2 linked regions of the Elephas maximus indicus genome follow. Each later gene encodes a partner of the first gene's protein in a complex. Links are inferred from orthologs where the notes say so. Each region holds a gene or a part of one and is shown in the gene's direction. Other genes may lie near its edges.

Region 1 (16,948 bases):
CAGCACTATGAAAAAACTGCACTCCAACAAATTTGAAAACCTAGAGGAAAAGGGCAAATTTTTAGAAACACACTACCTACCTAAAATAACGCAAACTGAAGTAAAAAATCAGAACAAAACTATAACAAGAGACTGAAAAGTTAATTAAAAAAAAAAGAAAAAGCCAGGCCCAGATGGCTTCACAAGAGAATTCTACCAAATATTCAAAGAAGAACTCACATCAGCACTACTCAATTATTTCAGAGCATAGAAAAGGAAGGGATACTTTCAAATTCATTCAACGCAGCCAGCAGAATCCTGACACAAAACCAGGCACAGACATCACAAAAAAAGAAAATTACAGATCAATATCTCTCATGAATACAGATGCAAAAATTCTTAACAAAATTTTAGCCAACAGAATTCAGCATCATTAAAAAAAAAAAAAACCACGCACTCCTACCAAGTGGGATTCATACCAGGTACGCAAGCATTATTCAACATTAGAAAATCAATCAATGTAATACACCACACATACATAAAACAAAAGAAAAGAATCATATGATCATCTTAATCAACACAGAAAAGGCATTTGATAAAGTCCAATAACCCATTCCTGATAAAAATTCTCAATAAAATAGGAACAGAAGGAAAATTCCTCAACATAATAAAGGGCATCTACACAAAACCAATAGCCAGCATCATTCTCAATGCAGAGAGGCAAAAAACATTCCCCCTGAGAACAGAAACAAGGCAAGGATGTCATCACCACTCTTATTTAACATTGTGCTAGAAGTCCTAGCTAGAGCAATAAGGCAAGAAAAGGAAATAAAGGGCATCCAAATTGTTGAGGAAGAAGTAAAATTATTCCTAATCGCAGATTATATACTATACATAGAGAGACCCCACAAGAAATCCACTGGAACTAACAGACTCAGCAGAGTAGCAGCATATACGTTAAACACAGAAAAATCAGTTGGATTCCTACACACCAATAAAGAGAACTACAAAAAGGAAATCAGGAAAATAAACCCCCTAAAAAAAATTAAATACTTAGAAATAAATCTAACCAAGGATGTGAAAGGCCTATATAAAGAAAACTACAAAACACTACTGCAAGAAACCAAAAGAGATCTACATAAATGAAAAACATACTATGATCATGGAGAGGTAGACTTAACATTATGAAAAGATCAATTCTACTCAAAGCAATCTACAAATACAATGCAATCTCGATCCAAATTATAACAGCATCCTTTAACGAGATGGAAAAACTAATCATTAACTTTATATGGAAAAGAAAGAGGCCGCAGATAAGAAAAGCATTATTGAAGAAGAAGAAGAAAGTATGAAGCCTCACACCATCTGACCTCAGAACCTACCGTACAGCTACGGTAGTCAAAACAGCCTGGTACTGGTACAACGACAAACACACTGACCAATGGAACAGAATTGAGAACCCAGATGTAAATCCATCCACCGATGATCACCTGACCTTGGACAAAGGCCCAAAGTACATTAAATGAGGAAAAGATGGTCTTTTTAACAAAAGGTGCTAACAAAACTGGATGTCCATCTGTAAAAAAAAAATGAAACAGAACCCATATCTCACACCATACACACACACTAATTTAAAATGGATCAAAGATCTAAATATAAAACCAAAAACTATAAAGATCATGGAAGAAACAATAGGTTTAGCCCTAGGAGCTAAAATATAAAACCAAAAACTATAAAGATCATGGAAGAAACAATAGGTTTAGCCCTAGGAGCCCTAATACACATCATAAATAAGATACAAATCATAATGAACACACAAACACCAGAAGATAAGCTAGATAAATGGGATTTTCTAAAAATTAAGCACTTATACCTATCAAAAGACTTCATCAAAAGACTAAAAAGAGAACCTAAGACTGGGAAAAAATTTTTGGCTATGACAAATCTGAAAAAGGTCTAATCTCTAAAATCTATAGGAAAATCTTACACCTCTACAACAAAAAGACAAATAATCCAATTAAAATATGCACAAAGGATATGAACAGACACTTCACCAAAGAGGACATTCAAACAGCTAACAGACACGAGAAATGCTCGTGATCACTAGCCATTACAGAAATGCAAATCAAAACGACGAGATACCATCTCACCCCCGACATTGGTGGCACAAATCAAAGAAACAGAAGATAACAAATGCTGGAGAGGCTGCAGGGAGACTGAAACTCTTGTGAACTGCTAGTGGGAATGCAAAATGGTACAACCATTTTGGAAAATGATATGGTGCTTCCTTGAAAAGCTAGAAATAGAAATACCAAAAAATCCAGGAATCCTACTCCTAGGAATATATCCTAGAGAGGTAAGAGCCATCACATGAATAGACATATGCACACCCATGATCACTGCAGCATTATTCACAACAGCAAAAAGATAGAAAAGTCCTAAGTGCCCATCAATAGATACATGGATAAACATACTGTGATACATACACACAATGGAATACTATGCAACGATAAAAGGCATTGATGAATCTGCGAAGCATCTCACAACATTGATGAATCTGGAGGGCATTATGCTGAGTGAAACAAGTCAATCACAAAAGGACAAATACTGCTGAGACCACCACTATAAAAACTCATAGAAAGTTTAACACAGAAAGAAACAGTCTTTGATGGTTATGAGGGAGGGGAGGGGAGGGGAGGGATGGGGAAAGAAAAACACTAACTAGACAATAAACAGAGAAATGATTGAAGTGATCAAAGCTTATATTTCACTGGGATCCACGATCAACACCCATGGAAGCAGCAGTCAAGAAATCAAACAACGCATTGTAGCATTGGGCATTGGGCAAATCTGCTGCAAAAGACCTCTTTAAAGTGTTAAAAAGCAAAGATGTCACTTTAAGGACTAAGGTGCGCCTGACCTAAGCCACAGTGTTTTCAATAGCCTCATATGCATGTGAAAGCTGGACGACGATGAATAAGGAAGACTGAAGAAGAACAAAGGCCTTTGAGTTGTGGTGTTGGTGAAGGGTACTGAACATACCATGGACTGCCAAAAGAACAAACAAGTCTGCCTCTTAAGAAGCACAGTCAGAACGCTCCTCAGCAGCGAGAATGACGAGGCTTCGTCTCACATACTTCGGACACTTTATCAGGAGGGACTAGTCCCTGGGGAAGGGACTAGAGGAGGGTCATTGAAAAAAAGGAAGACCCTCAACAAGATGGACTGACACAGTGGCTGCAACAACCGGCTCAAGCAAAACAACTATCACGAGGATGACACAGGACCAGGCAGTGTTTTGTTCAGTTGTACACAGGGTCACTATGAGCAGGAACCAACTCGATGGCACCTAACAACAACAGACAACAGATAAGTGGTAACTTTGGTGAAGGGTAATGCAGTACATTGGTCAGCACAACTTGACCAATGCAAAGTAATAGAAACATCACAGACACGTCCAAACTACCTGAGACCAAGTTACTGGGCTGAGAGCTGGGGACCATGGTCTCGTGGAACATCTAGCTCAACTGGCATAGCACAGTTTATAAAGAAAATGTTTTGCATCTACTTTCATGAGTAGCCACTGAGGTCTTAAAAGCTTGTACACGGCCATCTAAGATACTTCTACTGGTCCCACTCTATCTGGAACAAGGGAGAATGAAGAAAACCAAAGACACAAGGGAAAGATTAGTCTAAGGACTAATGGACCACAACTACCACAACCTCCCCCAGACTACGTCCAGCACAACCATATGATGCCCAGCTACCACCACTAACTGCTCTGACAGGGGTCACAACAGAGGGTCCTGGACTGAGATGGAGAAAAATGTAAAACAAAATTCAATCTCACAAAAATGGCCAGACTTAATGGTCAGACAGAGACTAGAGAAATGCCAAAAGTATGAGCCCTGGACACCCTTTTAACTCAGCACCGAAGTCCCTACTGAGGCTCACCCTTCCCCCAAAGATTAGACAGGCCTATAAAACAAACAATAACACACATAGTTCGACCACATATATGAGACTAAATGGGCACACCATCCCAGGGGCAAGGATGGGAAGGCAAGAGGGGACAGGAAAGTTGGATGAATACAAATGGGGAACCTGAGGTCAAAAAGAGGAGCATGTTGACATGACGTAGGGTTCTCAACCAATGTCACAAAACAATATGTGTATTAATTGTTCAGTGAGAAACCAATTTGCTCTGTAAACTTTCACTTAAAGCCCAATTAAAAAATAAAAACAGATAAAATGGAAAACCAAGTACATGAGAAAATTAGAACACAGTCATGCAGGCTTTAGGATTATATACAGTATTATACTTGCAACACACGTATGACTGTGAGCTTCCTTACAAAACAAAAATGAAAGTTTTAGAATTTTCTTTCCCCATAAAGAAGAAGTACACCAGCTTAGAAAAAATACAGCTTTCTATGGCAATGGAAATGCTGTATGTGTGTCCTCAGCACCTAGAACAGTATATCTCTCCAAAACTGTAACAGGGTCATACTGAAAAATATCCTCAATAATATGCTTACAATCAATGCAGTAATAGCAAGTTTCCCAGGATTGTTTCCTATTCCACAGTGTAAGCTAAGACAGGATAGTCATGACAGAGATCAGTTAGGTACCCACTAAGCCCATTTCCTCTTTAACCATTCACACAGCTAGACCCCATTTTGCAGCCTTCCTTGCAGTTAGGTGTAGCCATTTGATTGAATTCAAGCCAATGAAAAATGTAAGCCATTTCCAGGCCCTGCCCGTGAAAACCACATTTTCCCCATACTCTTTTCCATTTGAGAGCTTGACACAGGCAAGCACCGTGGCCTAAGAAGCTTTATGTTGATAGAGAATTACTAGATGAAAGGAGCCTGGGACCCTAAATCACTGCATGGAGGAAATCTGCTCACCAGACAGGTTCTACGTGTGAAAGAAACAAACTTCAATTGTGCAAAGCCATGTAGATTTGGGGGCTTCCCTGGTATAGCACCAACTGTCACACAAAAAAACACAATCCTTCAAGGACCAGAATGATCTAAGTATTCAGTTTTCCAGTCAATCTTGATTCTAGGGTAAGCCTAAACTATCTACAGCAGCACTGCCCAATAGAACTTTCTGTGATGATGGAAATGTTCTATAACCTGCACTCTCTAATGTGATGGCCACTGGCCACATGTGGATACTGAGCACTTGAAATGTGGCTAGTGTGACCAAGGAACTGAGTTTTTAATCTTATTTAATTTCAATTAATTTAAATTTAAATAGCCACCTGTGGCAAGTGGCTACCATACCGGACATCACAGATTGAGCGGCATGGTTATAAAATTGTACTATATGAACCACAGTTAAATAACAGGGCCAAACCCACAGTATAAGCAGGATGTATCTTCCTGGAATATCACTTTCGCTTAGAGATAATAGGAAACATGTCTGTATTAAAATATTTATTAGCTACACTGTAGAGGCAATATAGAATAGCAATTAAACATGCAGCCTCTGGAGCCAGGCTGTCTGAGTTAGATGACTGGTTTTGCCTATACACCCTGGACATTGTGTAAAACCAACATAAGACTCTGAAAGGTGGAAAGAAGAAGGCAGACTGGCTAGGAGCAGGAGAGCTGAAGAACACAGTGGTGAGTTCCTTGGGTTTTCTTTTTGCCTCATTATCCCAGACTGGGTGGTTGAGCACCCAACAACCCAGGCAGGACAACAACACAGACAAAAAAAAAAAAAAAATCCCAAGAATAGCTTGCTCTTTCTAACCAAAGAAGCAAGAAAGGGGCGGCCTAGAAAGCCAAAACAGGAGCCCTGGAGGCACAACAGTTAAGTGTTCAGCTGCTAACCTGAAGGCTGGCTGTTTGAACCTGCCCAGCCATTCCACAGGAGAAAGAACTGGCGATCTGCTTCTGAAAAGATTAAAAAAAAACCGCCAAGAAAACCATACGGGGCAGTTCTACTCCGGCACATGGGGTCGCTATGAGTCAAAAATCAACTCGACAGCACCTAACAACAACAGCAGCAAGCCAAACTTTTAGACAATTGCTCTACTCTAGGTAAACACCACAAAAACACGCAAACAACAACAAAAACTCTGCAGCCTCAACCCCATCAGCAAAGGCTTAGGCTTTCGCCCTTGCTGGGCTGTAATGAGGCACTCCTCCGGGCACAGCCTCAGAGAAGGCTTAGTGGGATGCTGGAACTTTCATGCCTGCATAGCCTTTCTTCCCCCTTCCTGCTGTGTCAGTGGACACTGTCTGAGGAGCCTGTATGTCCACCCCAACCTCTGCCCTGCTGGTGTCAGAGGAAGCCTAGAGGGCAGCCAAGACTTTCATCTACCACCTAGGGGTAACACGGCCGTCCCCCAACTCCCACGGTGAAGGCTATGTGGAGAGCAGTAACAAGGCACCGTACCCCTCCCAGCCACGGTGGTACCGGGGAGTCCTAGCAGGGAGCTTGCACTCCCACCCCTTCACAGTCATAACAAGACTGAGTGGGGAACTGGACTTTCAATACCATCCAGCAGTAACAAGCCACTGTTCCTTCCCTCAGCAGCTCAGTGTCACAGAAGGCCTATTAAAACAGAAAATCTAAATAATATACAGCATTTCATAATATAATACCCAAAACGTTCAGGATTCAATCCAAAATCACTAGTGATACCAAGAAGTGCTAAACCTCACCCTGAATGAGAAACAACCCACAGACACCAACACCAAGATGACACAGATGTTAGAGTTATCGGACAGAGATTTTAGAGTGGCCTTCGTAACAATGCCGAAAAAAGCAATTATAAACAAGCTTATAACAAATAAAAAATCTGAAAGTCACAGCAAATAAATGTAAGATATAAAGACAATCCAGATGAAAATTTTACAACTAAAAAAAGTTCAATAATCGGAATAAATATCTCAACGGATGGACCCAACTGCAGAATGGTGACAACAGACAAAAGAATCAATGCAACTGAAGACAAGAATAGAAATTAGCCAATCTCGACAACAGAGAAAAATAGACTGAGGGGAAAAAAAAAAAGAACAGAGCCTCAGGGACACATGGGACTATACGAAAGTATCTAACATTCATCTCATTGGAGTCCCAGAGGAGAGGAAAAAGTGCTCAAAGAAATAATGGCTGAAAACTTCCCAAATGTGACAAAAGACATAAACCTACAGTTTCAAGAATCTGAGTGAACCACAAACAAGACAAAAACTCAAAAACTAAACCCATTACTGTCCAGTCAATTCCAACTTATGAAGATCCCATGTGTTACAGAGTAGAGCTGCTCCATAGGGTTTTCTTGGCTGTAATCTTTATGGAAGCAGATCACCAGGCCTTTTTTTCTGTGGTGCTGTTTAGTGATTTTAATGGTTTCAAACCACCAACCTTTAGGCTAGTGGTTGAAAGCTTAACCACTTGTGCCACCTGGGGCGGGGGTCGGGGGAACTGGTCGCCCTGGAGTTGATTCCAACTCATAGCACCACCCAGGGACCTACAAATAGTGTAAGGTCAAAGAAATACCATCATGGCACATCATATCCAAACCTCAGAACACTAAAAACAAAGAATCTTGAAAGCAGTGAGAGAGAAACAAAACTTTTCCTATTAAAAAAAAAAGAAGAAGCTAAATCCAGTGCCGTCAAGTCGATTCCAACTCATAGCAACCCTACAGGACAGAGTAGAGCTGCCCCCATAGAGTTTCCGAGGAGCACCTGGTGTATTCAAACTGCTGACCCTTTGGTTAGCAGCCATAGCACTTAACCACTACGCCACCAGAGTTTCTGCCTTTCTTATAGAGGAAAATAATTTGAAAGATAGGTTTCTCACCAGAAACCATGAAGGCCAGAAGAAAATGGCACAACAACTTCCAAGTGCTGAAAGAAAAGAACTGTCAACCCAGAGGTCTACGTCCAGCAAAAATGTCCCTCAGGAATAAAGGGGAAATCAAGACATTCTCAAGCAAGGCTTGGAACCAGTGAACAATCACCTGGGGATCTATAAAAATCACCTGGGGATGTTGCTAAACTGTGGATTCTGATTCTGACTATCACAGGTGGAAATGCAAATTTTCAGCAGGCTTCACACCAGAACGAACCGGTTCAAGGCCCTGTTATTAAGTGGAGGAAAGCTAAGAGAATCTGTCACCAGCAAACCTACCCTACAAGAATGACTAAAGAAAAAGTTTCCGAAACAGAAAGGAAATGATAAAAGAAGAGGTCCTGGAACACCAAGAAGAAAGAACAATGGAAAGAGTAAAGACCAAAAAACTAAACCCACCGTGTCAAGTCGATTCGGACTCACAGCGACCCTATAATAAAAATAGGAGTAAATACAATAGAGCTTCCTTCTCCAACAGTGTGCCATAAAGTAGTTGTGGGCGCTTCCCTGTCACTATCGCTAATCCTCACAACAATTTACGTAAGAGAAAAGGAAGCTGAAGCCCAAAGAGTTTATTTACTTGACTTGTCCAAGGCCGTGCTTGTAAAAAGTTAAAACCTGATTTATTTGGATCAAAAATTCGTGATCTTTTCCCCACACACTCAAGACTGAAGTTTGGAGAGACGGTGCCTAGGAAAGGGAGGTAAACTGCCCCAGTCTCACTGCGTGAAAAGAGCCAGGACCAAACCCAAGTCGACAGTTCCCGCTCAGGGCACGCGCAGAGCGCCCAGGAGCGAGGACACAACTCCCGCCACCCTCTCCACCGCCGACCCCGCTTTTGCCTTACCTGGCTGCCCGACCTATCTCCGTCCGGCTGCACCCTGACTTCCCATGACGGTACCCCACACCTTTCCTAACCCCCTTGCACTGCCCCTGAGAACGGCGAGCGGGCCCTTGCGTCATCAGCCGTCGCCGGAGCGTGGTCACGTGACGCCCCGCTCTGCCCACCGCCCCTTTGGTCACGTGACGGCCAGAGGCTCCGGGAGCGGAAGCCGGGGTCAGTCCCGGTGGCTGTACCAGTCTGGGGATCTAAGGGGACCCTTGCGTAGGGGGAGCGGAGGTCGCGAGTCCGTGTGCGACTGCCGGCCCTGAATGAGCGCCACTGGCGCGGCCCTAGTGACAGGTGAGTCGGGCGAGGTGCGCGCGCCCTCCTCTGCACGTTTCCTCTTCCCGTCCTCCGTCCCGGCGCTGGGCCACCCTGGCGTCGGGGTGGGGGGGTCTGGAGGGAGGGCCCTAGGGCCGAGGACTTGGCGGCAGCAGGTGGCTGGGGGCTGCAGTCCAGGCTCTTCATTTCCACTTTGATGGAAAAAATGTTGCACATTCCTTTGGCGCTTTAGGAAGCGATGTTTCCATGCTGGGCTCCTATCTGATTCTTCCAAGTTCTACGGAGCAGTGCCGTGCGAACGTCATAATTCTTTTTACTCTCAAGAAAAATGAGAACTTTTACAGTCTAACGGACCAGGATTTGAATTCTAGTTCTGTGATGGACTGGATTTGGGCAAATCACTGCCCCTCTCTGCACCTTAATTTCCTCACAGGTGACATAATAGCGCCAAAGTCCTGTCCTTTGCATTTCGAAAAAAGAATTCTAGGCCTATGGTCTCACCATTAAAAAAAAAAAAAATGTGACAGAGCCAGTAATAGAATCGGGTCTTCTAATTCGAAGTGCACTGTTCTTTCTCAAACATAGGTGATGGGAGGGAGGGGCGAGTTTTATTGCCTCTGCCCACAGTGAGGGACCCCCAGTTTTCCTTCACCTGGATTCATAAATCCGAGTAGAATGATCAGAGTCATTTCAGAACATTTCTGAAACAGATATGCCTGTCACTTTCATCTTGGTCAGCAACCACTATATTTTGTTTTTGATAATGGATTTGTGGAAACCAGTGCTTCCTTCTTTATGGAACTGAGGTTTTGTGAAATGATAAAAATAGACATCATCCTTTGTCCTCTGAGTAGGGTAAACAGTAGTTTGTCTCAGAATAATTTAATTTTCTTCAGAATTTCGGTTCTGTACTCATGGTGTGATGATGCCAACCTTTCTTCATGAAAGCGTGCTGTCTTTTGTCTAGGAGTACTTTCCAAACTGAAAAGCCCAGCTTTGTGCCACATTCTTAAAAATAAAGTTACAACCTCTTTTCTGGATGACTTGTAAAAAAAAACTAGAAAATTGAGTGGACTCTGGTTCTTTTTTACACTAGTAGTAATGCAGCCTATATTGAGTAAAACGGTCTTTATGAATTTCCTTCATCTCTAGCATCAAGAGAACCCCTCAAAGGCTGGTTATAGACAGCTTTTTCTACAGTTTTTATTTTCACCATACTCTGTGGTTGTTAGCTGCCATCGATTGGACCCCCGACTCAAGGCAAGCGCGTGTGCAGTGGAACAGAATGCCCACTTTTGTGCCGTCCTCATGATTGCCTGGGGGTAAGGCCATTGTGATCCGTAGGGTTTTCGTTGGTTACTTTTCAGAATGGCCGGGCCTTTCTTCCTAGTCCATCGTAGTCTAGCAGCTCTACTGAAACCTGTTCAGCATCACAGCAACACCCAAACGTCCACTGACGGATGATGGCTGAGCGTGAGGTGCATCAGCAGAGAATCAAACCTCGATTTCCTGCACGGAAGGCGAGAATGCTACCGCTGAACCACTGCCCCTTCTGTAAAGTTTCCTAACTCTGAGATGGAGGCAAGGTGTTTGGGCATCTTGAATGATGGTTCCTAGGTTCTGTTCTTCAGGGCCAGTTTTTCTGTCAACAGTGGGGGCTGTTTACCAGATACTCTAGCTAAAGAATAATTTGTGCAAATTGTGGTAATTTCATTTGTTAACATGAAAAATCGAACTAGTGCAGATGACATGGTCTAGTACGTGGTAATGTAACTAAGTGATTTCCTTCTTTCAGTTAATCTTGTTTTAGCTTGTTCAAAAATTTAGCTAGAGATGCTAGCAGTGTTAGGGAAGGAAAACTCAACTGTTCTTCATGAGTTGGGGCAGATTACAGGCACTTCCCTGAAAGGGCATTAAATATAACCATATCTTGCTTTTATATTAAAAAAGTCAAGATAAACATTTGTTTTTTAGAATTTTAGACAAGGTGATTAACCTATATATTAAAGGTCCATAACATTTCTCTCACTGTTGCCAAACATTTATTTTCCTATTCTCCTACTAATGTTGTTCTGGAAATTGGCTACGTTGTAATTCTTGGGTTAGGGCATAAGGATTAAAACAAGAGATTGACATGCAAAAGTCTATGTCATTATCCCAGTTAGTTTTGTTTTGAACTTGAGGCGTCAGCTTCTCTGAATATGTACTTGAAGGTGCTGAGTGTGTCTGTTTGTCTGCTTGTTGGGAAGGAGTGAGGAAGAAAGTAGTTAACTTGATTTGTTTTAAACTGCTCCAGGGCCCCACTGTTGGCCCTATCTCGTTATCCACAACCAGGTAGCAGTTAGACCTGTTAACTATCGCTTGCCCCTCTCTGAATGTGTCTAGAGTTTTCATCCTGCTGAGACCTGGTTTAGTTTGGTGTTCTTCAGAGGACCCTCCACAGGGGACTGTTTTGCCCGTTGTCTTTTATTTTTCCCTTTTCCTCTCTCATTTTCCATGCCAGTCCATATCATTGCAGAAAATTAAGTTCTCCTTCAGAATTTACTGAAATTCAGCCTGTTAGAGATCAGTGTGGTTTAACAAGCAAACATCACAGAGAAAACTAAAAGGATTTGTTAAAAATCCATGCCTTATGTGTATTATAGGATGCCGTCATGAGAGCTCTAGACAGCCTAGTGGCTTCTCATATCTCCTTGCTCTCAAACTCAACCCCATCCACCTTTCCTGATCTCTCCTTCTGTCCTTTGCTCACTAGGCTCCAGCCACATCAGCCATCTTACTGTTCCTTAAACACATCAAGCACATTCCTGTCCTGAGGCCTTTGCACTTTTAATCCCTACCTGGAATGCCATTCACCCAGATAATTATTACTGCTCCAAAATTTAGTAATTTAAGACAACAATTACTTATTATCTCACATTTTCTGTGTTTAGAAAGCCAGGGTATGACTTAGCCCAATACCTTGGCCTCAGGGATTCTTCTGAAGGGTGCAGTCAAGCTGAGCATGGGCTCACATCTGAAGGGTCTCACCTGAAGGCTTAACTGGGATTGTGGGAACCCATTTCCAAGCTCACTCCTGTGATCGTTGGCAGGCCTCAGTCCCTGTCACATGAGCCTCTCCAAAGGCTGTCTCACAACATGGCAATTTGCTTCCCCTGTGGCAAGCAAGCTACAGAAGATACCCAAGCCAGAAGCCACAATTTTTTGTAATTTTTGTCATCTTTCCACATTCTGGTTTTATGTACAGTGTAGTCACTATTTCAGCATTCAGTATCTGAGTCCATGTGTTGTAAGACTGCCTGTGGAAATAAAAGATGGTATTGACATAAAAATGATAATGAGCTGACTACTTTTATTCAAATATTCCTGGCCAATGATGTCTGTGAGGCCAAATGCTTATCTTTGCTAGCTATTTCCTAATGGTTAATATCATATGTATAGAGTACAATACCAGTGCAGAGTGAAAGTGCAAATGTTGCAAAAGACACAGGCTTCCATGAACTTGACAAATGATGACCTAGCTAAATTAACAATAGAGACAAGAAATACAACAAAGATGGTGACAAAAATGGTTGGGAGAGCCTTTGAGAAGAAAATGATGCCTTGAAACTTTTGTGCAAAAATTACCATTTTAAGGTCAGGCTATGAAAGTCCACTCTGAAGTACAGGATATTGTATTATCAAATTGACAGTTTTGGTGAAATCATGTACTCCCCCAAAGTACCAGTTTTATATTACACAAAATTTAGAGTAAAATTACGATAAGAGAAAAAAGATTTTCTTTCTTTCTTTTTTTTTTTTTTCCTCTTATCAACTATGTACTAATTCTTTGGCCAAACCAAGTTGAGTTGATTTATTTCAGGGGACTATATGGTATACTTTCATAATTTTTAATTACATCACTTTTTTTTTGTTTTATAAAATGGAAGCATCCTATTTATGTTTCTGCATCTTTATTTTTCCCCTTAGTAATAGCTCTCAGAAATCCTCCAACTTAACCGGTGTAGTTCTAATTCCTACTTATTAATGGCTACTTAAATTCCAGTTTCCTTACTAATGGGTATTTACTTTGTCTTCAAATTTTGTAAGATGACTAACAATTCTGCAGGAAGCATCCTTGGACCTGTATCTTTATATGTTGCTGCTTTTATTTCTTGGCGTAGATTCCCAGGCATGAGATTACTAAGTCAAAAAGTGTGTATATTTTTAATTTCAGTAAGTATTGGTTCACTTTCTCAAGACTAATAATTCACATTTCCACCAGTAGTGTATTTCCCCAGTTCCTACCTGAAACAGATATTATTATACGTTTTAATCATTGCCAACCTAATGGAAGTAAAGTGGTTTTTGGCACTGGCTTTGATTTGTAGCTCCTTCACTGCCAGTGAACTAAGGATCTTTCGGATGGTTGTCTGTCATTGGGATTACTCTTCCCTGAACTCACCTTTTATATCTTCTGCCTGTTTCTCTGTTGGGTTATTTGCTCTCTTCTTGTCAGCTTGTGAGATCGCTTTGCGTGTTTTAAAAATCAACCCTCTGTCTGCCCTCTGCATTGCAAATTCATCGTTGTAATTCTTTGCCATAGGAAAAAAAAATTTTTAAGAAATTATGAACTTTATTTAATAATATTTTTTCAGAGGAATTTTTTTTAGTGTGTGAGTTAGGTGAAAGTTTACAGAGCAAATTAGTTCCTCATTAAACAGTTAATACACAGATTGTTTTGTGACATTGGTTGCCAACCCCACGATGTGTCAACACTCTCCCCTTCTCCATCTTGGGTTCTCTGTTTCCATTTGTCCAGTTGTCCTGTCCCTTCCTGTCTTCTCGTCTTTGCTTTCAGCCTGGTGTGCCCATTTAGTCTCGTATACATGATTGAACTATGAAGCACATCCCTCACATGTGTTATTGTTGGCCCTATAAACCAAAAAACCAAAACCAAACCCTCGGCCATCAAGTCGATTCCAACTCATAGCGACCCTATAGGACAGAGTAGAACTGCCCCATAGAGTTTCCAAGGACCGCCTGGTGCCGAACCTTTGGTTAACAGCCGTAAAATTTAACCGCTACGCCAGCAGGGTTTCTGTTGGCCCTATAGACCTGTCTAATCTTTGGCTGAAGGGTGGACCTTGGGAGTGATTTCGGTATTGAGCTAAAAGGATGTCTGGGGGCCATACTTTCGGAATTTCTCCAGTCAGGCCAGCAAGCCTGGGGTTTTTGTGTGTGTGTGTCTGAATTTTAATTTTGTTCTGTATTTCTACATTTTTCTCCTGCTCTGTTTGGGACTCTGTATTGTGATCCCTGTCAGAGCGGTTGGCGGTGATAATCAGGCACCGTCTAGTTGTGCTGGGCTCAGTCTGGTGGAGGTTGTGGTAGTTGTGGTCCATTAGTCCTTTGGACCAATCTTTCCCTTGTATCCTTGGTCTTCTCCTTTGTTCCAGCTGGGAGCCCTAGAAAAGTTTTTAAGTGTCATCTACTAAACTATGTCTTTTCTAACTTCTGGGTTTCCTTCTCTAGCCCTGATTTCCTAGACGATGCCACTTTCTTAAAGATCATCTATCATAAAAAGAATACTGTAGCCAAGATAAGATCAAGTAAAGGCTCCATGCTGACAGGGTAATGGCAGCTGCACCCAGTATTTCTTTATCTTGACCACACACTCAAGCACTTCACGTCTTTCTCTGACTTTTTCTTCAGGGCTTTTCTCTCAACAGTATTATAAGCAGCTGGAGGGGGCAGGCGTCACCTCTCATATCCCTCATGTTATTTTTTATGTAATTGTCGTGTGCATCAATGCCAGGGAGTGAGTTAAGCACAGAGGATACAGAGGCGAATATCGTCATTTTATATTTATTTGCTGCAGTCTTCCACAAGATCAGTCTTTGTCAATCCTGGCTTTACATCAGAATCATCCAGGGAACTTGTTAAAAATAGGAGACTGCCTCTAACCTACTTCACCACAAACCCCATGACCCCAGATGACACTGTGATTCAGCCAGGTTTGAGAACCGCTGCATTGCAATGTAGTTGCTTAAACATTGTTACATCCAGCCTGGCAGAGAGGTACTCAGCAAGGAGTGCTTGAATAAAGGAGAGCAACCCTTGCCTTCAAGAAATTGCAGGAGAACAACCTGTTAGCCATAGTGACAGTATCAGTATGCTAAGTGCTGTAAGCATTCTCATTCAGTGCTGCGGAATACAAGTAACCGATCCCAATGGCAGTGCTAAACGCCTGAGTGCTAAATTGTAGGAGAGGAGACTTGTGGACCGCTTTGATTTAGTATTTATAAACCATCTTCACGACATTTTGGAGAACCCAGCATCTGTATTTTTAAAAGGAGTCTTGAACGTGTTTATGCCATAACCCTGCAATTCCATCTCCAGGAAAGAATTGAACAAATGCCTTAAAATGTTGTACAGGGATGCTTCTCCCAGCTTCATTTAGATTGCTTGCAATTACTTGCTAATATAACAAACAGTACGGAAGAGGTTGTGCAATTGAGGGTACTTAGAACCACACGTGCCCAGTGGATCCTTCTCCCAAGCCAGGTCATCAGCAACGTCACGTCTTTTCTTAAAGGGAGAAGTGTGTAAAGGATTGAAAAAGCCCAGAGTGCCGCATGCAAAACATGAGTTCCATAGCAAAACTCTTTATTTATTGCAATTTTTCTAGTAAGTTTGGAAGAAAAATTTCATGTATGTGTTACGTATGTATACACACATGCTTCCTTTAAAAATGATGACTTTCTTTTTTTTTTTTTTTAATTTTGGATACAGGTTCTTTGATGGAGCAGCTAGTCTATGAGCAGCCCTGGTTTCATTTCATGATCTTCAGGCTCCAGCCCTGAAGCCAACTAGACATCCCCACTGGTGAGGAGAGTAGCTGGCCACCCTCACTATGTTGGATTTTCTAGCTGAGAACAACCTCTGTGGCCAAGCAATCCTGAGGATTGTTTCCTGTGGCAACGCCATCATTGCTGAACTTTTGAGGCTCTCTGAGTTTATTCCTGCTGTGTTCAGGTTGAAGGACCGAGCCGACCAACAGAAATATGGTGATATCATATTTGATTTCAGCTATTTTAAGGTAATCTTCCTCGACTGCATTTTTACAACTGCCCTTTCTACTAAAACTGCTGTCTGGAAACCATGAGACTCTGAGAGATTGAATAACTATGGAGAAAGAGTTGAAGAGGAAAGCTTTTGAACGAAACCTAGTATCAGTTACTAACTTGAAAATTGGATATAGCTATTTTGGTTTTGTTGATTGTATAGAAGCCCTAACACAATATAAAATTAAAAAAAAAAAAAAGTAACTTTGAAATAATACATTTCACAGTGAAGTGCCCCAAGCTTAAATGCATGTTAATCTTGGTTACATTTCAAATCCATTTCCTTCAACAAGTTTTTATATCTAGGCTTCTGTTATCTTCATTACTTTCATTTGCTCTGCTTTACATTTTCTGATATCCCTTTTAAAGCATAAGAACAGTTTTTTAAAGGACTGTTTAGGCATTATGACCAGCAAGTATGCTTTTATTGACCTTTGCACATAAATCTGTTTCTCTTCTTAGGGTCCAGAGTTATGGGAAAGCAAACTGGAAGCTAAGCCAGAGCTACAGGATTTAGATGAAGAATTTCGTGAAAACAACATCGAAATTGTGACCAGATTTTATTTAGCATTTCAGAGTGTGCATAAATACATTGTAGACTTAAACAGGTATGATTCATTTAGTCATAGCTTCTTCTGGTTGTCAGTAGAGGAGAGGGAGAAGGGACACACTAGGACATGTGTGAGTAACAGCGCCACTTACTAGCTTACATCATACCAAATCGTATGTGGCACTAGTCATCTTAAGTATTTCAGAATTTTATGATAATTTCCTTTGCTTGTGAGGTATCAGAATAATTTTGGTTTATACTAAGTCATATGGC
Region 2 (16,428 bases), on another chromosome or scaffold:
AGTAACCTGCTACGAAAACAAAGATACTGAAAAATTCTGAAGGTTTTTTTTTTAATTGAATTAAGATATGCAGGTGGCATATATTAGGCTGCCCTTTGAAATCAGAATTCATTAGAATCTACTTGTTTTCCCTCAGAATTTCACTATAGTAAATGAAATCTTGTAATACATTTCCAGTGAGAGAAAGCCTGGAAGAGAGAGTACATAGGTCAGAAGATTCTGGCAGTGGGCCAAGTCTTCCAGCTATAGGTTGTTGTTAATAGTACTGGAAATTCAGTTATTAAAATGTGAATGATGCTGTCAGGAGCTATGGATGAGATGAACGGTAATCATCAAGGATCCTAGGAGGCAGAGAGAAACTGCCACACTTCTACTCTTCTTTCACGTCTTCTAGCATTATATTTGTCTTTTTTTTTTTTTTTTTAAGAAACCAAACCGCTTTTGAAAATTTCTTTGTCAGTGGACCAACTGAGAACAAATTCATGTTACTACAGTTTCATTTTATTTTGCTACTTGTACTTAATCATGAGATAACTGTCTTGCTTTTTGGTTTTTTCCCTAGCTAGGAGGCACATGGAAAAAGACTAGGTTGGCCAGTTGAAGTTTTTGCTCAGGAAGGCTAAATGAGTGAGTTTACCCAGAGTTGTGGGTCCAGTCACAATCAGGGGTTCATAGATGATCAAGGGATCATTAGGCCCAAAAGTAATTCAACAGATACTTATGGAGGGTTTACTATAGGTCAGACATTGGGCTTGAGCCTTAATAGTGAACAAGGTGGAGTCTCTGCCCTCAATCAATAATCTAAACAAACAGGCAAGTATAATTCATACTAAGATAAGGTTAAGCAGAGGATGCTCTGGAAGCATATATTAGGACAGACAGTTAATCTAGTCTTGTTGGAGCCAGGGAAAACTCCAAGGAAGGATGATGAGACTTCTGCTACTGGTTAGAATGTAGAAAGATGAGAAAAAGCCTTTCACCTCTGTGGTAGTAACAAGTAGTAAAGACAAAGTAAAAATCATACTTTTTCATAAGGCTATTGAAAAGCAGTAGATGTAAGAAGGCCTTGATGAACTGAATTCTAGAAGGACATAGGTGAGTAGAGAGCTGTGGCATTACTATACCTGGGGAGAAAGGCCCAGTCAGAGTGCAAGTGGGTAGAAGAGCAAGCCTGCCACACTCTGGGAGATTTTGCTGAGACAAGAAGAAATTGGCTGAGACTTTGCCAATAGCAGGAAGTGGTGGAACAGACTTGGGTCTGGAAGGACCCCAACTGCAAAAATAAATCACGTAGGCCTATACTCCATCTCCAAGATTACTAAGAAAGCAAGAGTGGAGAAAGGGCTTTGGTAAGTAAAAAGAATTCGTGCATTCTCATGGTGATTGGACTGGGTCCTGTCAAAGTTGAATCCAAAGATAAATCAAAATGATCATTCAAACATTGAGAAGATCAAAGAGTTCAGTCCTGCAGGAGGTCAGGAGTTAGGCTAATTGGACGGAAACTCAATCTAGTTAGAGCCGCAGCACAGTATCAGTTCACCTCAATTTGTGAAGGAAGATGAATGCTCAGCCCCTCACTTAACTTTCCATTATTCTCTATTTCACAGTGCCGAGCATAAAAAATTATGAGAGAGGCCAAAAAGCAAGCACTCAATAGAAATATAAATGAACCAGATATTGTGATTATTAGATAAGGACATTAAAATAACTATTCTAAGTTTGTTTTTTATGGAAGAGAAGATAAACTTAATGGGCAAAGGGAATTTTAGGGGGAAAAAAGAAACTCCAAAAAAAATGGATGTTTTAGAAGTGAAAAACATAATATTTGAAATCAAAAGTTCATTGTACAAGCTTTATAATAAATCAGACACTAGGAAAAAAAGTATCAGTGAACTTGAAGGTATTTGTTAGGAATTAACCACACTGAAACACAGGGAGAGAAAAATCTTTAGGAAAAAAATAACGAGCAGGGCATCAACGACCTGTGGGACAATAGCAAGGAATCATAAAACTCGTGTGTCTCTGGAATCCCAGAAAGAGAAGATGTGACAGAAAATAATTTTTTTTGAAGAATTAATAACCAAAAATCTTTCCAATTTAATTTAAAAACCAACCTCTTTTAATATCCAAGAAGCTCAGCAAACCTCAAGCAGGATAAATACAAAGGAAATCATGCCCAAGCACATTATATTCAAACTGTTGAAAACCAAACACAAGAGTTGTGAGGGATGAGTAGGAGTTATTCAGACAGGGTAGTCAGAGAGAAAGAGAGATTGTTCCAGTCAGAAGAGGTAACATTTTTATAGGCTCACAGCAAGTGGTTCCGGAAATTGAAAGAAAGTCTTTGGAATTAAAATGGAGGGTTAGAAAGATTAGTGAGAGGTGAGGTTAGAGCAGTGAGCAAGGCCATAAAGAGGGCCTTGTAAGCACATTAAGCTGGGGAAATGGGAAGCATAGTTATACCCTGGAGCCCTGGTGGCCTACTTGTTAAGAGCTAGGCTGCCATCTAAAAGGTAGGCAGTTCATATCCACCATCTGTTCCTTGGAAAACCTATGGGCCTTCTACTCTGCCCTATAAGGTCACTATGAGTTGAAATCAACTTGATGGCAATGGGTTGTTTTTTTTTTATTTGTTTGTTTTTTAAATTATATCCTGGATAACATGATCAGATTTGTCTCTGTAAAAAGTCACTATGGCTACAATATTTAGAATAGATTGCAGAAACACAAAATGGAGGCAGAAGGAGGCTCTTGCAGTAATCCAGGCATAAGAGAATGCTGACAGAGCTTGGATGGAGAGTTACAGAGGAACTCAAGTTGTTTAGGAGCCAAAAAATACAGGCTGTGAAAGGGAGAAAATGTAAAGGGTGACTTTAGTAGCTATTTAACTTTTCCAGGCTCACCTACCCATCCTCATCAATAATTCCAGTTACTTTGTGCCAAACAGAAAGTCCTAAAATACAATTTTGATAATGCCACTTCCCTGCTTAAGGCTCTTAAGTAGCTCCCATCATTCCTGATCTTGAGATCTTCCATGACTTCCCACCTCACCCAGAATGAAAGCCAACCCTTACAATGGCCTACAAAGCCGTATATAATCAGGTCCCCACATACCTTTCAGACCTCATCTCCTTCAACTCCCCTTCTTGTACACTTTGCTTCAGCCACACTGGCTTCCAGTGTGAGATTTGGGCTGGATATATAAATGTAAAAAACATTACAGGTTGGGAAAATGAGGAGAAACCAGCCAAAGGAAAATGAGAAGAAGTAGCCAGAGTGATAAAAGGAAAACCAGAAAAGAGTAATATCCTGGAAGGAAAATGAAATTTTCAGGCAGGAGAAGGTGATTAACTTTGTCACATGTTGCTTATCCAAGCTAAATAAGAAGAAAGAAATGATCAAAGGATTTAGCATTATGAAGGTTATTGGTGGCCTTGAGATCACCAGTTTTTATGGCATAGTGGGCTAACTGGAGTAGGATTAGGAGAGACTGGGAGGAGAGAAATCGAAGGGAGTGATGGTGGACAATCTTGAGGAATCTTTCTGAAAAGGGTAGCTGGAAAGGGAAGGAAGTGGAGTCAAGACATTTATGTTAAGACCAGTGAAATAATAGCATGTTCGTATTCAGCTGGGAATGATCCAACGAAAAGGGAAACATTGACGATAGAGGAGAGAGTGGGGGCAATCATTGGAGTGATGTTTTTGTTTTGTTCTCAAGTAGGTGAGAAGGAATAGTATCTAGTACACAAATAGAGGAATTGGCTTTATATAGTAGGAGAGATTATCCATAGTAATTGTAGGAAAGGCAAGGTTTCAGGGCTCAGATGTGGGTTGAAAAGAGATGTGGCAGTGGGAGCTTGTGACGGTATAACCTCAAGAGAGCATGAATTTAAAGTGAAACAGGGTCTGGTTGAGGCCAACCGGTATTAATTGTATACAATTGGTACAGAAGAGACAGAACATTCCATTTACTACGTTTTTGCCAGGTAAGTATGATGAAGGGAGGGAGGGAAAAGTTTGTTGGGTGATTATAATGAATCATAAGATCTAAACTGGGTAAAAAAGGAAGTGAGGATATAATGAGGTTATGGTACAGTGAAAAAGCTTTCTCGTGATGGCTCGAAGAACTGTTAAAGTCAAGATAACAGAGAGAATGAGCTCAAAAGATCGAAAGTACCGACCAGACAGTGGATCCTTCAAATTAAGATTATGGAGAGAGTGAAGATATTTGGCAATGAAAAGTTCTGGAGAATGCCCATGGAAGAGTGAGTGTGGCTGAAATAAGAAAATGGAGGACAAGAGCACTAAAGGACAGGAGTTCAAGGAACTGTGAGACCAAGTGTCTTAGTTATCTAGTGCTGCTGTAACAGAAATACGACAAGTGGATGGCTTCAACAAAGAGAAATTTATTCTCTTACAGTCCAGTAGGCTACAACTACAAATTCAGGGTGTCAGCTCCAGGGGAAGGCTTTTTCTCTCTGTTAGCTCTGGAGGAAGGTCTTTTTTTTTAATCAACCTTTTCTTGGTCTAGGAGCTTCTTTGCGCAGGAACCTTAGGTCCAAGGACGCGCTCTGCTCCCGGCACTGCTTTCTCGGTAGTATGAGATCCCCATGTCTCTCTGCTTGCTCCTCTCTTTTATATCTTAAAAGAGATTGGCTTAAGACACTATCTAATCTTGTAGATCTCATCAGTATAACTGCCACTAATTCATCTCATTAACATCATAGTGATAGGATTTACAACGCATAGAGAAATCACATCAGATGACAAAATGATAGACAGTCATACAATACTGGGAATCATGGCCTACTAGCCAAATTGACAGATATTTGGGGGGAACACAATTCAATCCATGACACCAAGGTACCAGAAAGATTATGTTCGCAGATATTGAAATCCCACAAGTTATGATAATAGTGTTATAAACAGTGGCAGTGAGACAAAAAGTAAGGACTCCAAGGAAAGAGTAGCAGTGACCTAAAGGTCTGTAGAGGGATGCTACAAGGTATCTTTCTATATAGGATAGCATGAACTCAGAGCTGTGGGGCATTTTTAGGGGAAGGAAAAGCAATGGTATGGAAGCAGTGAGGATGAACGAAAACACCTCCTAAACTAATGATTCAGGGATGTGGGCAAGAAAACAACTACAGGCTGCACAGGAAGCAGTATCCTTAATAAGCAGGCAAGTTAGAGCAGAAAGAGAGGAATGGTCAAAGAAGACGTTGAGAAAATGGGGATTTTGCTAATGACTGAGTTCCAGAGGGCATTGTGAAAGGATTTGTTGAGCTGGTGAGAGGCAAGAAAAGGCTTGTAGAAATCAATATGAGGTTGGAAGTCTGAGAGATAACTTAGGAGTCCAGGAATAATTATGATGACCTCAAAGTGCAGAGTGATAGTGGAGGAGGAAAGGGTGAGGACTCGCCAGGAGCAAGCAGAGCTCTGGAACGAGTTCAGTGGGAATCCTTGCTCCTATTAAAGATGGGGTGGAAACCAACGGAGGGGCGCTTTTACAGGGGAAATGTAGGTCTCTGGGGCTCAAACATCAGTGCCTTCACACATGTTGATACTCTCTGTGGAATGTTCCTCCCAATCTTCTTCATCTTGCTTATGTTTGCATCTTCAAAACTCAGCTCATGCATCAACTCCTTCAGGAAGTCACCCCTAATTTCACCAGCCTGGGTTAGGTGCTCCTCTTTGGGGCGTATTTTAGCCTAGTTTTTATCACACTAAATTTTTTTTTTTTCATTTTTCTGTCTCTCTTCCTGGACAACTTAGTATCTGTTTGTTAACTTGTTTATTTTCTGTTTATCTACGTGAAGGCAGGAATTGTGTGTTCTGTTAACTGTTGTATTCCCAACTCATATCATAGTGCCCTGGTGGCTCAGTGGTTAAAGTGATTCACTGCTAACTGAAAGGTTAGCGGTTCGATACCATCAGTGGCTCTGTGGGAGAAAGATGTGGCAGTCTGCTTCCATAGAGATTTATAGTTTTGGAAACCCTACGGGGTCACTATGAGTCGGAATTAACTTGACAGCAGTGGGTTTGGTTTGGTTTTGGTGGCACATTGTAGGGAACATCTGTTCAAAGAATGGATGGGTGGATGAATCTTCAGTGCTTGATACCATAGTTGGATCATAGTAGAACCTCAAAACTGTGTATTAAAATTATTAATGAGTTTTCATTGCAAAGCAGAGCAGCTGGTACTAACTGAGGAGTCATAAGAAATGAAGAAAATCCTTCAAAGAATTTACAGTCTAATGGAAAAATTTAGGCTCATGTAGACCTTATCAAGGTGAAAAGACAAAACAATACAGTTGCCTACAACTGTCACACTATTTATCTTATTTATAGTTGTAGTCTCAGTACTCCAGAACCCTTAATTGTCCTCCTAAGGAACTTGTACATAGACCAAGAGGCAGTCATTTGAACAGAAAAAAGGGATACTGTGTGGTTTAAAATCAGGGAAGGTGTGCGTCAAGATGGTATCCTTTCACCATACTTGCTCAGTCTGTATGCTGAGCAAATAATATGAGAAGCTGGACTATATGAAGAATGCAGCATCTGGACTGGAGGAAGACTAATTAACAGCCTGCATTATGCTAATGATACCTTGCTTGCTCAAAGTGAAGAGGATGTGAAGCACTTACTGATGAAGATCAAAGACTACAGCCTTCAGTATGCAGTACACCTCAAGATAAAGAAAACAAAAATCTTCACAACTGGACCAATAAGCAACATCATGACAAATAGAGAAAAGACTGAAATTGTCAAAGATTTCATTTTACTTGGACCAACAAAAAATGCCCATAGAAGCAGCAGTCAAGAAATCGAAGGACATATTGCATTGGGCAAATGTGTTGCAAAAGACCACTTTAAAATCTTAAAAATCACAGATGTTACTCTGGTGACTAAGGTGTATCTGACCCAAGCCATGGTATTTTCAATCACTTCATAAGCATGTGAAAGCTGGACAATGAAAAAGAACGAAGAAGAATTTACCCATTTGAATGATGGTGAAGAATACTGAATATACCACGGACTGCGAGAAGAATGAATAAATCTGTCTTGGAAGAAGTACAGCTAGGCTGCTTCTTAGAAGTGAGGATGGCAAGACTTGTCTCATGTACTTTAGAAATGTTATCAGGAGGGACCAGTCCCTGAAGAAAGACATCATGCTTGGTAGAGAGTCTGCAAGAGAGAGAGGAAGACGGTCAACAAGATGGATTGACACAGTCGCTGCAACGATGGGCTCAAAACTATAGCAATGATTGTGAGGATGGCACAGGACCACACAGTGTTTGGTCAGTGTTTCATTATGTTGTACATGGGGTCGCTATGAGTCTGAATCAACTTGACAGCACCTAACAAGTCCCAGTAGAGTACTAGAACATGAGAGGGACTCAACAGATTTGCTGAAAGACAACAATTAAAAATATTCGATGATACTCAACTAGTTATGGACATGAACCCCAAAAAAACCAATGAAACGATAAGCATTTAAAAGTATTCTTCATCCTATCCATCTTCACTTCCACCTCTCATTTCTAAGTGTGCAAGAGTGCAAAGCTCTTTCCAGATCACTGTAAGAATGCAATTCCTGATTTTTTTTTTTTTTTGGCCCCCTTTTCAAGATTTTACCACCAAAACCTCAGCCTGGTTCAACCCTGCGGCCCCCAGTCTGACGTCACAATCTGGACCTAGAACTACCAATCCCAGAATGCTGAGCTCAGGGGCGGGCTCGCGGGGAGTCGCCGAGTGATTGGCGAGCGGAGGCATTTTCTTCCGGCGGAAGGGCTGAGGAGGCGGGGATTTGTGGAGGTGTCTGGGCGCTATTACCGGGTTGGGCGGGCCCTGTCTGGGAGGGGTCTGGAAGAGAGCCCTGGGTTCCCCGCCAGCTGAGGAGATGGATGAGGACGGGCTTCCTCTCATGGGGTCGGGCATAGACTTGACCAAGGTTTGTAAAAGACGGAGTTGAACTTCCGGAGACCGGGGAGGAGGACGAGGAAGGGACTCCCCGTTCCCAGAAAGACCCCACTTCGCCAGGCCCCACCTTGTACCTGGCCCCGGGCCCCTCTTCTGCTGGCCTCGGGAGGGAGTCTTCACCTTTCACCTTGAAAAGGGGTCCCTCCAGAGCTGATTAAGGGGATGTTGTGCCTCTCCCAGCCTTCGCTTCCCGGGTAACGTGTCTCTGTGCCCGGAGACGAGCGACTGGCGACTTGGGCCCGTTGCGACCTCTTAACCCTACCTCTTTGATTCGGCCCCCACGTGTTTTTGTGTGTTTACCTGTGTTGCCTTTACCTGTAAAATTTGTGAATCCGGAGTCAATTCTCAAAATTTTATGTAGCTTCTATCGTCTTCGGACCCCCCACCTCACAGTTTATGAAAACAAGTTAATGACGATTGTCAATACTTCAAGAAACTCATATCACACAGCAAGACGCCCTGTTCCTATGCCCATATGTCAAAGGAATTGCACTGTGTACGTTCCTCCGGTACGAATCATGTTTGTTTTTACATAACACAGGTGCCAGCTATTCAACAGAAAAGAACGGTGGCATTTCTAAACCAATTTGTGGTGCACACAGTACAGTTCCTCAACCACTTTTCTACAATTTGTGAGGAGGTAGGTCCTGTGATGTTGGTTTATAGAGTAGCCTAGAAATCACTTTGCTTTTTTTGAGGATGGCAAATGGAGTTAAAGAAGAATCACTCTGTTCAGATTGGCCTCTTGTCACCCAGTTGTTTTGTTAAGCTAAAGTCAGTCCTGCACTCCACCTCTGCTGAATAGTGTTTTAAAGGTCTTTGGAAGATAGTTCAGTAAGACTTATTGTGGTTAAAAAAAAAAAAGCTTATTGTGATTAAAGAGAATAAAAGGAATTCCAAGATTTCATAGTTGAAAACACTTGTGATTTTGAAATTTGTTACATGTGCTCTTACCCAGATATTTACATTTTTAAGTATATATTGTTTCAGTTTATTTTCAAATTGTTTTACATTCCTTGATCCAAACTGGAGCCCTGGTGGTGCAGTGTTAAAAGCTTGGCTGTTAACCATAAGGTTAACAGTTCAAATCCACCAGCTGCTCCTTGGAAACCCTATGGGGCAGTTTTACTCTGCCCTGTGGGGTCCCCATCAATCTAAATCCACTGGACAGCAACAGGTTTGGTTTGGTTTGATCCAAAAGATGCCCTGGAGAGGTAGCCTAGAAAGCTAACTTTGGCATCAGATGTCATTATGGAAATAAGAATATTTTCTGCAGATAACTCGTAAGTGAGGATTAAGTACCAGATTAAGGAGTAGGTACCAAATCCAGGGATTCTTGTTCTTAAAAAAAAGATGGGTAAGGCAAATTGGAAACATGGCTTGAAATTAAGTTTAAGAAAGAAGAGAGAGAGGTAAATCAGGGGGATTAGATAATTCACTGGGGCTTAGATAGTTAGGTGAGTTGATTGATTAAACAATTTGAAGTTCATTCTGTTTCATATGAGGTAAATAGCCTTAGCTAGTAGAGTGTTACATGTATTATTGTTACTACAATTTTTATGGAGATAGGAAAACTGTTTTCAGCGGATAAGATTCCTGCTGTTGTTTTTGCCTACTTATCAAAATCTTTTTACCGTCTCATTAAGACAAAAGAAAATAAAATATGGTATGATATGCCAGTTGATAGAGTCAGGGGATCAAAACAGTGTGTTTTATCTAACAGCAGGTCCAGAGCCTAGGTGCTTGCTTCCATGTATTTTATTTTGTACTGTGCCTTTCTAATTGGAGATAGAATTGACTGAATAAAAAGCAGTAAGCCAAGGATTTAGCCCTTCACTTTTTATACCAGAGTAGGGTGAAGTATCTAGGTGGGGAGTATCTCAGGATTGTTAATAGAGAGGAGCAGATACTCCATCCCTATATGCTTCATCACCAGATTAAAAAATAGAATAAACAACAACAAAACAAGAAGTAAACACTCTTGTGAAAGCAACTTGATTGAGCTGCTCTAAGGCAGGGATAACCCCTCCTCATTGTAGTACCTAACAATTTTCAAAGCCTGGAGAGTGTTGTCTGTTTGACAGCTAAAGCAAAGATAACAATAATCATCACTTACTTACTGATTGCTTTTAAGCCTCATGCTTCACAAGTTTCCCCCATCTGTTCCTCTCTCAGCTTCTCCCCCAACTGTTTTGGCTATGTCACTACTTCCTAGTTCTTCGTGAACTCTGAGAAAAAGCTTATTGACCAAAAACTCAATAAGTTTAAAGTAGTTTGCCTCTTTCTCCTAAGGATGATAACCTGTGGTTGATTGTAAGTCGTATTTTACAATTCACTTTAGAGGTTTGGATAATTGTGTCAGTTATAGATATGTTTGCTCAATGTGATGACAGTAAGGAAAAAACCAAACCTGTTGCTGTCGAGTCAATTCCAACTCATAGTGACCCTATAGGACAGAGTAGAACTGTCCCATAGAGTTTCCAAGGAGCACCTGATAGATTCAAACTGCCAACCTTTTGGTTAGCAGCTGTAGCTCTTTACTATGCCACCAGGGTTTCCGTAAAGACAATAACTAATATTTATCATGTGATTATTCTGTATTAGGCATTGTACTAAGTGCTTTACGTGATCATCATCACAGCCCAGCCATTTGAGAGAGGTTCAGGTATCCCAGTTACACAGAAACTGAGCTGTAGAAAGGCTTAAATCATTTGCTTAGACATTTATTCATTTGTTTGTTCATTCATTCATTCATCACTGGCTGCTGTATAACTTGCCCACAGCCACACAGCTAGAAAGTAACAGAGCTGGGATTCCATCTCTGGTCTATTAACTTGAAAAGCCAAAAACATCTTACTACCCGGTTACATTATACCTTCTGTTCTGAAAAAGAAGTTTGGTTGCATCATTTTTCAGGGAGAAAGTGCAGTGCTTTCTTTATAGTTATTTCATAATCTGTTTTTGAGATTACTTTTCTTTGCTGTGTCTTGTCTTTTTGATGTAACATCTTTTTGATACGATAAATTCCAAAGATATATGTATTCAAGCATAAAGTGCCATTTTCTCCTGAGCTAGAATCAATATGGTATTTCAAAATGATTTTTAATTTGTTGATAATAACGTTACGACCTGTAGTCCTTGTTTACTTAAAACCTTAAACAGGAACCAAAATGACTATGTTTCCCTCCTCAAAAAATGAATGTCAACTTTTATTTTTTGAATTGGTGGAGAGCAGAGGGGTCAGAGGGTTTACAAAAAAAAAAAAAAAAACTTTTTTCCTCACAGGATTTGGTTTGAACCAAACCAAAACTATAGCAGTTAAACTCATGCTGGAATTGAATTTGAAACAAATTGCTAGAGCAGTTTCTTCATTAATAGTGCTGTGTTTAGAGTTCTATAATAAGGAGAAACCCTGAAGATCTAAACTTTCTATACTTTATGCATACTATACTGTGCTACTTTGTCACTCTTCTAATGACAGGCACTAGAGTAGTAGAAAGGTTAGAAGGCAGAGAAGGGAAAGTAGTTGAATCAGATACAAGTTACAGAATTACTTAGGGTCATCTTTTCTTCCTTCACAAATATCCTAGTAAGCACTTGTGTCCTGACCCTAGTCAGTAAAATCTTACGGTTTTCCACTGGGACTGCAAATTTACAAAATGGAGGGTAGCACAAGCTCTATGGCTATTGCAGGTAAAACTGAGTTTGGTGAATTGTAAAGTCAAAGATACTCTCTAAATAGATCACAGTCAGATGTGCTATTATGACTCAGACTTGTAACATGCATAGCATACTGGACTTTTAATCGTTTTTTAATATTCTAAAATTTTTTTTTCAAAAATCTTCAAGTACAGGGAAAAGTGCTGTGAATTCTCACATGAACTGAAAATATTTATGGCAGGGAGCCCTGGTGGCGCAGTGGTTAAGGTGCTTGACTGCTAACTGAAACATCAGCGGTTCGAAACTACCAGTGACTCCACTGGAGAAAGATGTGGCAGTGTGCTTCCATAAAGATTTACAGCCTTGGAAACCCTATGGGGTCGCTATGAGTCGGAATTGACTCAGTGGCAGTGGGTTTTGGTTTATCGTCTACGTCCAGTATTTAAGCCAGCCATCAGACTTAACCTTCAACCAGATAATGTTTTTCTTAAAACCCTTGTTTGCTGCCACATATTTTACAACTGCTGAGCTTAAGTGTCAGATGAAGCTTAACAAAACTGTTGATTGCTTTCCGTTCTGGCTTCTAGGACATATACAACCCAGTGGTGTATAGCAAGAGATCCATTATTTAAAAATATTGTTTCTCTTTTAGAGACGTAGATATGCAAACTGGATATTTTATGACCCTGAAAAACCACTCTTTATTTTTCTTTCCATGTTCAACTAGTGGTTCCATATTTCTTCCTTTTGTCTTCTTTTTCACTTTAATAAAATGTTTTGCCTTAGAAATAGGTAGGTGATAAATCAAGAAGTTCTCAGTTTATCTGAAAAATTTCAGGTACATTGTAGTTTTGCCCGTTATCCCAAGCCAAGGCATTTCAGATTTATTTCAAATTATTCCAGAAATGAAAGGATGGTAATGGAAAAGACCATTACCTTTCCATTCCCTGTTTGCTAAAACTTTCAGAGGTGGGGACAGTTACTATCATTGATCATGTTACTTATACCATATCCATAGTCATTCATACTTTAGAACAGTGGTTTCAACCAGGGGACATTTGGCATTGTCTATAAAAAAAAAATTTTTTTTTTAATTAACTTTTATTGAGCTTCAAGTGAACGTTTACAAATCAAGTCAAACTGTTTTTTTTTTTTTTTTAATAGACATTTTTGGTTGTCACAACTGAGGGGTGCTACAGGCACTTAGTGGGTGGATGCCAGACATACTGCTAAACATCCTATAGTACATAGGACAGCTTCACACAACAAATAATAACCAGTCCAAAATGTCAGTGGAGCCCAGGTTAAGAAACTCTACATTAGAGGGATCTGGGAGTTGCAGAAGGAAAATGAAGAAGGCGTAAACATCTTAGAAATGAACGTCAGTAGCCCATAAATGAAACCAGGCTCATTGTCATTTGATAATGGCTTTTTTTAAGAAATATGTATGGAAACCCTGGTGGAGTAGAGGTTAAGTGCTGTGGCTGCTAACCAAAAAGTTGGCAGTTCGAATCCGCCAGGCACTCCTTGGAAACTCTACAGGGCAGTTCGACTGTCCTATAGGGTCGCTATGAGTTGGAATCGACTCGATGGCAGTGAGTTTGGTTTTGGCTGGGAAGAAATATATATATTCATGTATGTGATAGAGGTGATTACATGGAAATGGGCTCAAAACCATTTGTTTATGCTGGATTATCTTTGAAGAGCAGAGGTTCTGAATTGTGCTGTGGACCTTTTAGCAGTCCAGTAAAGCCAAATTACTGTTTTTAAGTGCATAAAATAAAATACGTAGGATTACAAAAGAACCGATGAAATATCATCAAAATACTTTTAAAAACTCAAAATTATGGTAACACATCCTTTATTAAAGCATTAAATATGTGAGTGGCGTGTCTAATCATGACTAACTGTGAATTATGACAAATGTAAATAATTGAAAAATCTGCAGCAATTGTAATGTGATAAAAAAAATCTGTGATTTCTATGGGTGACAAAGCTATATGTCCTAATACTACTGTAATCCTGTTGATTAAGTTTAAAGTTGAAGAAAATGCTAAATTTAAGTCAGAGATAAATAAAAATAGAGATGTAGTTTTTTTTCACCCAGCCAGGTTCATGGACCCCAGGTTTAGAAAGACTGGGTAGGTGATTTTCTCAAAATCATATCAACAACAGGCTTTCCTCTTGGCTTGGGAAGATCTATGTTGTAATAAATTGTGTTGTTATTTTATTATCCATGAAGGCATTATCCATGTTCTCTAGAGCTGGTTTTTGAGGTTCTAAAATATTAAATGTGTTATCTGAAAATATAAAATACATCCTAAAAAAAAAAAAATTTTTTTTTTTTAATGTTACATATTGAAACATTTGAAAATCATTGCATAACATACCCAGCATCCCTACAAGAATTTGTAAATTAACAATTAGACTATTTTGGACATATTATAAAACTCAGTTTGTTCCTGAAATCTTCTTTACATTTGTCAATCTCGTTATAAAATAGGGTGATAGTAGCAGTATGAAGCAAAAAGCTACTGCTTAAAATACCAATCCTTATAATTACTTTAAATTAAAAAAAAAATTATTCTCAAACCAGTATCAAGGATATTTAGATAATGTTTTATAAATTAAAATATATTGATGTTTACAATAAATCAGCATCTTTCATGTCTCACATAGTTAAATCATTCATATAATCTTGATTTTTAAAAAAAATAAAGTCATTTCATTTTGGTGAGGTTTTTATTATGGTGGATGAAAATAGGTAAGGTGAGTGGCAAAGCAAAAAATAGTTATACCAGACTAATCTGCACCCCTCAAAATATGAGAATCACTGCTCTAGAAAGTATAACTTATTTCTCCAAGCCTCTTTAAATTTTCATAGTTTTCCAAATAAACATTCTCATCCTTAGTTCTTATTTACTAAGATCTGTATTTCAGTCTTACCCTGTCTGAATCATTGAGTACCCATTGGAATTAGGGACAAGTTAGTTTTATGCTATTACCCTGAAATGTTTTTTAAGCCATTTTTTAAAAATAATTTCAGAAAAACAACACCTGTGTTAGGAGATTTACCACGGTCAGAAAAATTTGATTCTCAGTATTTAGCACAGTAGCATCTTAGTCTTAATGAGAAGCAAATTGATTATTTGTTGGCCTTGAATAACAAAATTTGTGCCTAGGCAATACCCAGGAATTTTCCATCATGTTTCAAAAATGTAACATTGTTTCAAAAGTAGCATCTGAAGAGTATTGGCTGTGGAGTTGGAGTATTTGAGTTCAGATTATTTAATTTATGTGATGATACAGTTTTCTTATCTTTAAGATTAGCATATATTCCTACTTCATAGATTTGGTGTGAGAATTCAATTATTACGTTGCGTGTACAGGATAGCGTGTAAGGTAAATGCTCAAATGTTTCAGTGATGATTATTGCTTAAAAGTATATACTGACATAGGCATGTAAAGACAAAAATTGATTTTTTAAAAATTCAATTTTGCCTTTTTCTGTATTCACTTAACTTTAATCAAACTAATGTGTGCATTTTTAAAACAAATTATAAATTACCATTCACTTTACAAATTTGCTGTAGGATTTCTTCAATTTCTAAGCTACTTTAATGAATTAAAAGATTGATTAAATTTGCCTAAATTTTATTCCCATGGTTTTCAGTAATACTCCTATAATTTAGAGAGGAATTCCTCTGTCTACATTTTATAAACCTGTTTTTATGTTTCCATAAACCTTGTGTGAACAAATCCTGGATGTCAAAGTTAAACTTAGCCTGATTGTTCACTTTGAATGCCATTAAAACTAGATTCTGATGTTTTATTTCTAAATTATGTTCTTCGTAGATACCAACATGCTCATCTTAAAAATAAGTGTCCTGTGAAGGAGCACTGACTACTTTGGGTTTTTTTCAGTTTTTCCCCCTCTTAATGTTGGCAAAATGACTGTCCTCAGGGTGTTAAAGTTCTGTTTATGCGTTAGTCAGGATCTTGTTAATATCCCAGAAAGCAGTCAGAATGCTGCATGCTCATCTGCCAACTCATAAACTGGCTAACTGCTTCTTGGACTGTGGGACTGAGTATAATAGTGTTTAGGAATAGGGCTTTTAAATAAAAGTTCTTATATAAATACTTTGTTTCTTTTATTTGTATGTGCGCGTATATCTCTATCTATAAATTATCTATCTATAGATTACTTAATTGTTCAGAGTAACTAGAGCATGGTAAACTCTTCATTCTGGTTTATCTCGGCTTTTGATAGTAGATTGCTTCTTTTTGGTTTTTCAGTACTCATTTTAATTTTTTGTCTTTTAATTCTTTCTCACATGAACCACTCATCTTCCAATTCATCCCTTTTGCTTTTCAAACTTAAAAAGTTTCAATTTGAGACCAATTGTATATGCTTATTATGTTTAAGTAATTTATAAAGGCAGATCCTGTCCCAGACTGTCTTTGGCTAATTTTTATTCTTTCTCTTGCTTTTCTATGAAGAATTTCTTCATTCATCAAAAATAATTATTAAGCTCCTGTTAACTGTCAGGTACTGTTCTGGGCACTCGGATACAGCAATGAACAAAAGACTCTGTACTCAGGGAGTTCACATTCTGGTCCCAGTGATTATTTATTGCTCTGATAATGAGTTTGATAAGAATGAAATTACAACTTTTTTTTCTGTGAATACAATTTAATAAAATAACTGTGAAGCATGCTAATGAAGATAGTAGAACACTCGAGTTCCCATTCCTACCTAAGTACATAACAGAAGTAGTGTATTAA

Evidence for each region.
Region 2: WASHC5 (region 1) and WASHC3 share a complex: the UniProt entries of both Homo sapiens proteins name them as parts of the WASH core complex. The link is inferred for Elephas maximus indicus from reciprocal best matches to the Homo sapiens genes WASHC5 and WASHC3.

What each region holds. Positions count from the first base shown.
Region 1 is NC_064833.1:18,038,362-18,055,309, forward strand, and holds the start of WASHC5 (WASH complex subunit 5), read left to right. Parts: upstream 1-8,888; 5' UTR 8,889-9,037; intron 9,038-15,793; 5' UTR 15,794-15,914; coding exon 15,915-16,100; intron 16,101-16,587; coding exon 16,588-16,733; intron 16,734-16,948. UniProt on the Homo sapiens protein: Acts as a component of the WASH core complex that functions as a nucleation-promoting factor (NPF) at the surface of endosomes, where it recruits and activates the Arp2/3 complex to induce actin polymerization, playing a key role in the fission of tubules that serve as transport intermediates during endosome sorting.
Region 2 is NC_064822.1:168,407,540-168,423,967, reverse strand, and holds the start of WASHC3 (WASH complex subunit 3), read left to right. Parts: upstream 1-7,804; 5' UTR 7,805-7,903; coding exon 7,904-7,954; intron 7,955-8,524; coding exon 8,525-8,623; intron 8,624-16,428. UniProt on the Homo sapiens protein: Acts as a component of the WASH core complex that functions as a nucleation-promoting factor (NPF) at the surface of endosomes, where it recruits and activates the Arp2/3 complex to induce actin polymerization, playing a key role in the fission of tubules that serve as transport intermediates during endosome sorting.